Linked DNA regions of Caenorhabditis elegans. The protein of the gene in region 1 binds, or shares a complex with, the protein of each later gene. Each region holds a gene or a part of one and is shown on either strand. Other genes may lie near its edges. A codon is read from its position in the direction of its gene.

Region 1 (5,245 bases):
CTCAGAAGCCCAGAGATCATAGGATTTGTGCTCTTCCTTCTTGGCTCGCGGCCCCTTAGCCCAGCCCATTTTGATGGCGTGGACCATACGGGACACCATTCGCATTTCATCTTTAGATGGGATAAATCTGGATTTAGGTTCTGGACGATTATCGATTGGATGGATTTCTTTTTGGGAGGAGAAAATGTCGAGGAACGGCTCGTATGGGTTGTAGCCGATTGTTGGGTACTTTCCGGTCGCGATATTGTGGATTTTTTCGATTTGCTCATCGGTAAGCTTCACATCAGTGCCAGTTTGCTTGTCGAACACTTTTCGCCTGAAAAAAATTAAAAAAATTAATATAAAATTACTTTATTTTATTGATTTTAACCACATAATTACCAGTAATCTGGATCTTCCATCTTCTCCAGGAAAGTCTCGATTTCTCCTTTCTTCGCGGGTTTTGCGATTTTCTCTCCAAACTTGTCATATCCAATGTGATCCTCATCATCGTACCATTTAATTGGAATGTTTCCAATCGTGTTTCGCAGATCCTTAAACAAAAAATTATATATTTTATGCTAAAATATGAAAAATAAGCCAACCTCCTCGTCAGAAGAATCATAATCATACTCGTCTGCAGGCTTTGGAGGAACTATCACCGGTTTGATGTCGAGCTTCTCGCCAAACTCGTCTTTCAGCGTTTTTGGCTTCTTTTTCCCATTTTCAAACTTTCGCTTGTTCTTCAGCGGAGTTGCCGCCGACGTTGAAGCCATCTGATGGAAATATATTAATTTAAGTGTTATATTTGAATTATTCATTTGAAAATTGAAGAAAGATTAAGCGAAAGTAAAGAATTATCGATGAAAAAGAGAAAATTAAGAAATTCCATTCGAAAAATTAATTGCGAAAGTTGGGGGACTAGAAAACTCAACGTGCAAGCGCGCTCCATTGAGACACGCGTTGCATCTACCGTAGTGCGTCGCGATTTTAGGCCCAACATTTTTCCGATTTCAATTTCTCTTTCGAACGTTTTTCCTTTTTGCTGCTGAATTTTTCGATTTTTTTTTCATAAAAGTAATATTTTCCATCAGAATTGTTGAATTGTAAGCTTATTTTTGAATATTTGCGAGTAGAACCCTTGATTTACCGCCTATTTGTCGAAATTTTCTCCACTTTTCTGTTTGACGATTTAAAAAAGAATTAGGACTCGAACTGCGTTATCAGTCTACAAATGATCCTTCTGTCGATCTAAATTATCTGAATATTCTGGTTCATGGCTTCAAAACTTCAAATATCCTTAATTTTCTTCTTTTTTTTGCTGCTTTGGCGGTCAGTTGAAAAATAATGTTACTTTTTCTTCTCGTCTTCTTACCGTTTCTACATTTCTTAACTTTGAAGTATGAATATATGTCCTTTACATAGAATTTAGATTGTTGGTAGAAATTCTGCTGGAAATTTCGTATTTTTTCGAAACACTTTCGCACTAGGCTGAATCGGTTAACTTGTTTATTACTTTATTCCTCGTTAACACATTTCACCTTTCTTAATCCTTCTATCTCGCTTCCAAAAATGCAGTTGGCTTTATTGGTTTATATTTTCGATTTTTCAATGCTCCGTCGCTCAAAATTATGTCTATTAATTACTTCTGTTTTTGCAAACCACTCATTTCTTTTTTTCAGGTAATCCAGTCGAAATGGCCAAGAGAACTAAGAAGGTCGGAATCGTCGGAAAGTACGGAACCCGTTATGGTGCTTCCCTCCGTAAGATGGCCAAGAAGCTCGAAGTCGCACAGCACTCCCGCTACACCTGCTCGTTCTGCGGAAAGGAGGCCATGAAGCGAAAGGCCACCGGAATCTGGAACTGTGCCAAGTGCCACAAGGTCGTCGCCGGAGGAGCCTACGTCTACGGAACCGTCACCGCCGCTACCGTCAGATCCACCATCAGAAGACTGAGAGATCTTAAGGAATAATTATCCTTTTGAATGTTGTTAATTTTTCACATATAAATATGTGTTCTACATTCGCCTTTTTGTTTTTTTTTTACTTCTTTTTAATACATATTAATCCCCCGAACGGGGCCTCCGTCATGTTCGAGCTTAACCTCGCTTCATTCGTCTAATACTTTTTCTCCGTTCGTCTCCTTCCGTAAAAGCAATTTGATAATTTAGAGAAAATAAAACTCCGAGAATGGGAGTTCCCGCATTCTTCAGATGGTTGACTAAAAAGTATCCGGCAACCGTGGTGAATGCCAATGAAGATCGTCAGCGAGACCAGGATGGCAACCGGGTCCCCGTAGATTGTACACAGCCCAATCCGAATTTCCAGGAGTTTGATAATCTATACCTGGATATGAACGGTATTATCCATCCGTGCACCCATCCAGAAGACAGGCCGGCTCCGAAGAACGAAGATGAGATGTTCGCGCTCATTTTCGAGTACATCGATCGCATTTATTCGATTGTCAGACCGCGAAGGGTAAGGAAAATCCTCAAAAAATGTGGAAATGGGTCCCAACCACGATCCACGTCGCCTAGGGTCGCTGCTGATGAATTTCCTGAACAAAAAGAGCATTTTCCAGGCGCTAGAAACCAGCGTTTTACCTAGAAAATAGTGAAAAATAGCGATTTTCGCGTGAAGAACTCAATGAAAGGTAGCAAAACCTCAAAAATTCAACATTTTTTAAGCAAAAAGACGCGGAATACTTCAACACTTAACGTTAATAATCATTTTTAGCTTTAAAATCTACTCTGGAAAAAGGTCCCGCCACATGGATTTTTGCTAGAAAAAACCCCCCGTAAATTCCAGCTTCTCTATATGGCGATCGATGGAGTTGCTCCGCGAGCCAAGATGAACCAGCAGCGAAGTCGTCGATTCCGGGCGAGTAAAGAGATGGCTGAAAAGGAGGCGAGCATCGAAGAGCAAAGAAATCGATTGATGGCCGAAGGCATCGCTGTGCCACCGAAAAAGAAAGAAGAAGCTCATTTCGATAGTAACTGTATTACTCCTGGAACACCATTTATGGCTCGACTCGCCGATGCTCTTCGATATTATATTCATGATCGGGTCACTAATGACGCGTCATGGGCTAATATTGAGGTGAATAGTTGGAAATTTTCGAGAATTTCGATGAAAAATTGACTCTGACAGTCCCTATTTTAAGGAAATTCAGTGGATTTTTGTTATAGAATGTGCCGGAAAATTGCCAGAAATCAAGGAAACATCATTTTTAATTTTAGCAAAACTCCAAGTTACAAAACTAGCTATTAACTTGATGAAAAAAAAGCGAAATCTCTAGTTTTTACAGTGAAAATCCTCCAATTTAGTTGAAAAACTAGACAAAACACCGAAAATTTTGCTTTATTCAAGAAAGTTGAGTTTTTGCCCTTAAAATCGGAAAAATAAACTTTTTTCCGAACGTTCTATCACATTTTCGGGTAATTTACGTTTGAAATTGAATTTTCTCTCTTTGAAATTCGAAAATAAACTCAAAATTTCATTCCCAACATGGTTATGGCGGCGAAAAATATAGTTTTTACAGTGAAAATCGTCGTCCATTTTATTTTAAAAATTGGATAAAAGACCAAAAATCTTGCTTTATTTGACGAGAAAGTTGATTTTTAATTAAATTTTATGGTTTTTCGGGCTCAAAATCGGAAAAATATGTTTATTTACGAAAATTCTATCATTTTTTGGCTAATTTTCGTTTGAAATTGATTTTTATCTCTTTGAAATGAAAACATAAACTCAACATTTCATTCCCAACAGAGAAAAAGCGAAAAATCTAGGTTTTACAGGTGAAAATCGTCCAATTTGTTTGGAAAATTCGACAAAACAACGAAAATTTTGCTTTTGTATTAAAATTTTCGGTTTTTGGTGCCTAAAATGAGACTTAAATCCCTAAAATTCACCTATCCAATCAAAATTTTCTGTTTTTTGTACCAAAAAATGAGCAAAAATTGGGTTCGAAATTAAAATTTTTTTAAAAATAAAATTAAAATTTCCAGATCATCCTCTCCGACGCGAATGTTCCCGGCGAAGGCGAGCACAAGATCATGGACTACGTCCGAAAGCAACGTGGCAACCCGGCTCACGACCCGAACACCGTCCACTGCCTCTGCGGAGCCGACGCCGACCTTATTATGCTCGGAATCGCCACCCACGAGGCCAACTTCAATATTATCCGAGAGGAGTTCGTGCCGAATCAGCCGCGGGCTTGTGATCTATGCGGTCAGTACGGTCATGAGCTGAAGGAGTGTAGAGGCGCCGAAAATGAGACCGATTTGGGCGATGACTACTGTAAGCCGGAGCAGCGAGAGAAGAATTTCATTTTTCTACGGATCCCGGTGCTCAGGGAGTACTTGGAAAAGGAGCTCTCAATGCCGAATCTTCCATTTAAATTCGACGTCGAGCGGGCTCTGGATGATTGGGTTTTCCTGTGCTTCTTCGTCGGAAACGACTTCCTTCCACATTTACCATCGCTCGAGATCCGAGAAGGGGCAATTGACAGACTGATTAAGCTGTATAAGGAGATGGTCTACCAGATGAAAGGTTATCTGACAAAGGACGGGATCCCGGAGCTCGATCGGGTCGAGATGATTATGAAGGGGCTCGGACGCGTCGAAGATGAGATTTTCAAGCGAAGACAGCAGGATGAGGAGCGATTCCAGGCAAGGATGTGTCGCTGAGACATTAGAAAACCGAAAAAAAAACGGAATTTTTGATTTTTCGGCTCTGAGAAACTGAAAAAAAAGGGGAATTTTCGATTTTCCAACTGTGGAAAACCGAAAAAACAAAACGGAATTTTTGTTGTCGCTTATGAAAAACCAAAAAAAAAGCGGAGTTTCTTATTTTCCCGCTATGAAACCGGAAAAAAAGCGGAATTTTTGATTTTTTGGGTGTGGAAAACTGAAAAAAAAAATGGAATTTTTGATTTTCCGGCTCTGAAAACCGAAAAATACGGAATTTTTGATTTTTTGGCTGTGGAAAACTGAAAAAAAAATGGAATTTTTGATTTTCCGGCTATGAAAACCGGAGACCGGAAAACCGGAGAAACCGGAAAACCGAAGGTATGAATAACCCAAAAAAAAAAAAAAGAGTTTCTTATTTTCCCGCTATGAAACCGGAAAAAAGCGGAATTTTTGATTTTTTGGCTGTGGAAAACTGAAAAAAAAAATGGAATTTTTGATTTTCCGGCTCTGAAAACCGAAAAATACGGAATTTTTGATTTTTTGGCTGTGGAAAACTGAAAAAAAAACGGAATTTTT
Region 2 (4,862 bases), on another chromosome or scaffold:
CTTCTGCTCCTTTCAGATTTTCGCTTTACGATTTCTTTAAAAGCTCCGTAACTCAAGTGCCTACAACCATAGTTTTTAGAGATATAACAAGTTGGTTTACTACTTTAAACTTTTTTCTCGTAATGTTAAATAATTTCAGTGTGCTGGCTTACTTATTGCCGTCCTTGGCGTTATCACAACATGTCAAATCCGTCGGATTTCGCTCCAGCGGCCAAATATCGTCAGTTCTTTGAGAAAAACGTGGAATTCTATGAAGTGATACTTGGCAAGATTCTCAAACGATTCTCGGCATTTGAAATGTGCGAGGAGCTTCTTGGATCACTGCGAGCTATCATAGAATTTGCATGGAAAGAGCCACAAACACTTCTGCTCCGTCATATCCAACTAGACATTCAACCACATTCTCTTGAACTGTTGAAACAAATGCAAGTGGTTGTTAGAATGCATCGGAGTGCGATTCAGAAAGAACAAGATGTTAGTTTTGAGCATTTCAAGATGAAACACTCACTTACAAAAAAGGCCTGTTGCGTGGGTCGACCCAATTTTTTTTTAGATCGGCCTGGTCGAGACCCCGGCCTCATTTTTTATTTGAAAAAAATTGTCAAAAACTAAAAAAAAATTTATATAAAAAGCTGAAAATTATCGTATTTTTTGCAAATTTGAAAGAAAAAACACCATTCGATATTAAAAAATCTTTAAATTCATCATTTAAACACGTTTTCCAACGAATGTTTTTCCAATTATTTTTTTCGAAAAATGGGTGGGCCCATCTCGGTCAATCTAAGAGAACTATGCAAATTATTTTTTCAGGAACACTCAGGATTCTGGAACTCTTTATTCTATAGTGGTGATTCGGCTAGAACACAGTCCAGTCGAAGACTTGTTAGCGAATTGTTAACACTAATGAAAGACAGCGATTCTTATGTTGGAACTCATTTTATGCCGGAAATGGAAGATTCTGTATTGGCAAATAGAACAGGGAATGAAACTTTTCATAAGGAAAAGTAAGAAAATACTGATTAAAACACTTTTTATTGATTGAAAAATTATTTCAGATTATACACATCACTTTTGAACGAAACACCAAAATCTGGTCTTGGAATACCTGATCATTTTGTTGATGGACCATCAAATCATATGCTGTTAACACCAATCGGACAACGACAAGTTTTGAATAGAGAAAAGTTAGTTTTAATTGTCTTTCGTTATATATTATCGTATTATATTATCTTTTGTAGACGTTTTGACTACTCCAATTGCATTAAAGATGATCCAAAAGCTCCAACAAGAAGCTACGAACTTGGGATTGCTGTTAAATTGACGACTTCTTTGGCTCAGAAGCTCAACGAACTTTCATTTGTTCAGAAAATTGGAGATCATTATTCACAACAAAGTGGTAAGTTGGAAATTATTGTTTTTTTTGTAATTCATGTTATTTCAGTAATTGGTGCAATTGCTCGTAAAGTAATGTATCCACCGGTGCCAAATCTAGATCCGAATGCAACAGTTCCAGCGTATTCAGCAAGAATTATACGATCACCTCCTTTGCTTCGTTTACGGGTAATTTAAAAGGGATTATCCGCCGATTTTAATTGGTTTTTTTTGCAGTATTTTGCCAGCTACCAGTCAATTTTCTTCATGATATGGCTACTATTCGCTCTGAAATACGGATTAACTTTTACAATTGTCTCTCTGATTCTCATCGCACTCTCGGTCACTGTACTCTTGTTCATTGAGCTCGATTCCGGGTCTTCATCATCTTACTGACACTTGTTTGTGATTTCTCTGCTCCACCACTGTCATCATCTCGTCTGTTTTTTTTTGTTTTCTGTCTGAATTTTAATCAAATCTTTTTAATTTATTTTTTTCTTCTAATCAAATTCTAGTTCGTTTCTTTTTTCATGGAGTAAACATTCAATCATAACGCGGCTTTCTTTCATAATCTATTTCAAGTTTAAATGTCAGCTTTAAAATATCTTACCGTTTCTATTTTTACGGAAATCCTATTGAAAAAATACTTTATTTTCAGAAATAATGGGGAAGTTAGAAGACGTGGAAGCTGAAAAGAAATTATGGGAGAGCGACGATGCGTGGGAGCTCCGAAAAGCATTCATGCTGGCACATTATGATGACTATCCGAAGTTTGTTTCAGCACTGGCCGACAATTCTGAAAAATGACTTATTGCACTATGTGCTCCAAATATTTTCATTAGAGTTCCAATATTTTCATTAAAAATTAGTGCCAAAATAAAGAAAATCACTTGATTTATCTTTAAAAAAAAATCATTTTATGCAGCTGAAATATTCAAAAAAGCTGTCAAAAATCACCTGAAAGCTACCAATCATCGAAAAAAATTGGAGTTTTTCATTCCTTTTTGAGCTCTTTTTTCGAATGTTTCAGTTAAAATTGATAATATTTTCAACTAAATCAAGTGAATTTCTATATTTTGAACATAATTTTTAATGAGAAGTGTTGGAAAAACATGGCGCAATACGTCATTTTGTAGAATTACCACCCATGCCTGATTTGTTTTGATTTCAAATTTTATAGATTTAAAAAATTAATGTTTCTAAATTGTGTTCTGGAAAAAAAAACATTAGTTTTATAATATCACACTTGTACTATTTCTAAAACAATTTTCAATTCCAGAATCCAACTTCAATGCCTCTCACAATTATTCATTAATGTAACACTTCTCGGATGTGAATATTCTCAGACTTTAATGCAAAAGATTCGAACAATGGGTGCTGGAATTGCTGCTAACAAAGTAAGTGATCTTCATTATTTAAAAATATATTTCAAATTTAATATTCAGGATCGTACAAAAACTGGAAGTTACGTGAAGGCATCTGCAGCGAAAAAGCGACAAGCAGTGAAGACATCAGATTTAGAAGGAGCTTCTGATGAGTCTAAGTAAAAAAAACTTTTCAAAAATTGCAATTTTCAATCTTTTTGTTCCAGAAAAGTAAAAATGGAAAAGTCTCCATCGCCAGTAGCTCGTGAATCTTTTGATGAACGTCTTGGAAAACTCAAGGCATCTCTTGCAATGGTGAACATTTCAGATTTAACTTTTAATCTTTTAATCTTTTAATTTCAGACACCTCACCATCTAACGGGCGAACAAATGATGAAAACTGCCACGAATAGTTGTCTCATGAAGTGGCACGTGAACAAGATTAACCAGAAAATTGAAATAACTATCGATCGATATGTGGCCTTCAGACATACGTTTGTATAAAAATCTTCGAAACTATTTGAATTTCATGTTCTTTCAGATTCTCCCAATACTGTGTTGATCCAAGGGATTGTGCAATCAATACTCTAATTGAAAGCATTCTTTCGTGTGACGCCGCTGTTCACGAAGAAAGCTACGAAATTAGATTTGATGGAGTTCCGGTGGACGAGTGTTACGCTAAATCAGTCACCAGAAGACTTGCAAAAATTAAATCAGCAGTTTCTAATGGTGCACATACAGTTAAAGGCGAGCTTTTTTCATTTAAAAAAACAGTATCACTAAATTGAATGAAACATTTGGTCTCAAAAGTAAGGATTATAAAAGTTGGAACAATATCTCTTCAAAAATCATTTTAGAAGTGGGATTGTTGAATTTGATTGCAAGCTCGTTTTATCAATTTTCGGCTGTAAACCCATTTTTATTAGCGGCAACACGTTTAAAAATTTTAAAATATTGCTTCCGGTACTTATGGATGCCGTTCCCTGAAACAATTATTTTTAGAAAATATATTTGAAAATTGGAAGAAAAAAACTCGAAAGTTTGTTACAGTACTCAATCCGAACGGCAATTGGAAAACAAATAATTTTGCCTTCTTTTGAAAAAATGTATTTAGAAAACTTTTTCAGGTCTTACAACATATTTGGATGCAGTTAACATGTCAATGATTCAAAATACTCAAAAATTGGAAGGATGGTCTCAACAACTTGATCTCGTCACTGCCGATCTTCTTCTATCTTCTCGTGTTTTATCCAGCACTGAATGCACTAAACCAGCGATGGCAACGATCGCGAATCAAATGAGCGAAGACGTGTGTCAACTGATTCTCAACGATAAAATCAACGTCATTAACTCTATGAAATCTCACAGCTCTCTTGCATTCCAATAATCTCAATTAGCTTGATCTAGGGGAGCTTACTTTTTTTGCACTCGTGAATATAATTTCTATTGTTTTATTTATATTTGGCTTTGGTTTTTATACAACTACATCAAATTTCCTATGAATTTTACTGACTAATCGTTGCATTTTTACTCTAATTTTTTATAATGATGTTGAATCTCATCATTTTTACCTCTTTCGAAATGTTCACCCGAATCTGTATACCTATATGTGATTTCAGATGTCCTTGGCATTTAGAACCCTTTCGTTCGGTATTAAAAGATCACAACCGAAAAAGAAAGATGCCGATGATCTTAACAAAAAGAAAGAACTATCAACGATCACAGAAGAATCGCTTCGGAGATATGACGAACTTCGTGAAAAAATGATCGGAAAAGTCGAGTCAAAAATTGAGAAAAAAGTGAAGAAAAATAAAAAGAAAGGTTAATATTGTCTATTTAGTATAATACTTATAAACCATTTGTAATATTCAGCGTCGATTGAAATTCTTGCATCACGAAAGAGAGTACATGATTCTGACGGAGATTCTGAAAATGAAGTGGAGGAGACCGTTGGCGACGTGGAAAAGAGAATGCAGAAATTGGTGAGATTTCTACAGAAATTTAATTTTTATTTGAAAAAAAATCTTCAGCTCGACGACATTCGCCGTACCAATCGAATTTTCACTTGGGGTGATCATCTTCCTAATATTATTCTACGATTCTCCGATTCCAGCATGTCACCATCAT

Evidence for each region.
Region 2: the proteins of xrn-2 (region 1) and paxt-1 are in contact, whole or in part, in a crystal structure (PDB 5FIR), measured with the Caenorhabditis elegans proteins. Residues at the interface, in NP_496958.2 of Caenorhabditis elegans: Arg548, Phe551, Asp552, Val553, Asp557, Phe560, Arg563, Tyr589, Pro591, Tyr592, His593, Asp647, Asp648, Ser649, Pro650, Ile651, Ile652, Asp653, Tyr655, Pro656, Ala657, Asp658, Phe659, Arg660, Leu675, Leu676, Pro677, Phe678, Asp680, Arg683; in NP_001379143.1 of Caenorhabditis elegans: Lys12 (codon at 2,068), Leu13 (codon at 2,071), Trp14 (codon at 2,074), Ser16 (codon at 2,080), Asp17 (codon at 2,083), Asp18 (codon at 2,086), Ile37 (codon at 2,652), Gln38 (codon at 2,655), Gln40 (codon at 2,661), Cys41 (codon at 2,664), Gln44 (codon at 2,673), Leu45 (codon at 2,676), Asn48 (codon at 2,685), Leu52 (codon at 2,697), Gly53 (codon at 2,700), Cys54 (codon at 2,703), Glu55 (codon at 2,706), Tyr56 (codon at 2,709), Ser57 (codon at 2,712), Thr59 (codon at 2,718), Leu60 (codon at 2,721).

What each region holds. Positions count from the first base shown.
Region 1 is NC_003280.10:14,153,619-14,158,863, forward strand, and holds the start of xrn-2 (5'-3' exoribonuclease 2 homolog), read left to right. Parts: upstream 1-2,149; 5' UTR 2,150-2,168; coding exon 2,169-2,456; intron 2,457-2,786; coding exon 2,787-3,077; intron 3,078-3,985; coding exon 3,986-4,648; intron 4,649-5,245. Other genes in the region: bop-1 (Ribosome biogenesis protein BOP1 homolog), read right to left, coding at 1-316, 382-533, 585-755; rpl-37A (Large ribosomal subunit protein eL43), read left to right, coding at 1,676-1,951. UniProt on the Caenorhabditis elegans protein: Possesses 5'->3' exoribonuclease activity. Plays a role in maintenance of steady-state concentration and turnover of microRNAs (miRNA) by degradation of mature miRNA. Degradation role is enhanced when in complex with paxt-1.
Region 2 is NC_003279.8:8,594,304-8,599,165, forward strand, and holds paxt-1 (Partner of xrn-2 protein 1), read left to right. Parts: upstream 1-2,029; 5' UTR 2,030-2,034; coding exon 2,035-2,141; intron 2,142-2,650; coding exon 2,651-2,768; intron 2,769-2,816; coding exon 2,817-2,914; intron 2,915-2,962; coding exon 2,963-3,050; intron 3,051-3,098; coding exon 3,099-3,229; intron 3,230-3,276; coding exon 3,277-3,482; intron 3,483-3,862; coding exon 3,863-4,122; 3' UTR 4,123-4,248; downstream 4,249-4,862. Other genes in the region: R05D11.9 (Sphingomyelin phosphodiesterase 4), read left to right, coding at 1-90, 140-474, 811-1,004, 1,056-1,184, 1,239-1,396, 1,442-1,560, 1,609-1,767; ddx-52 (putative ATP-dependent RNA helicase DDX52), read left to right, coding at 4,355-4,556, 4,608-4,717, 4,766-4,862. UniProt on the Caenorhabditis elegans protein: Plays a role in maintenance of steady-state concentration and turnover of microRNAs (miRNA) by degradation of mature miRNA in complex with the exoribonuclease xrn-2.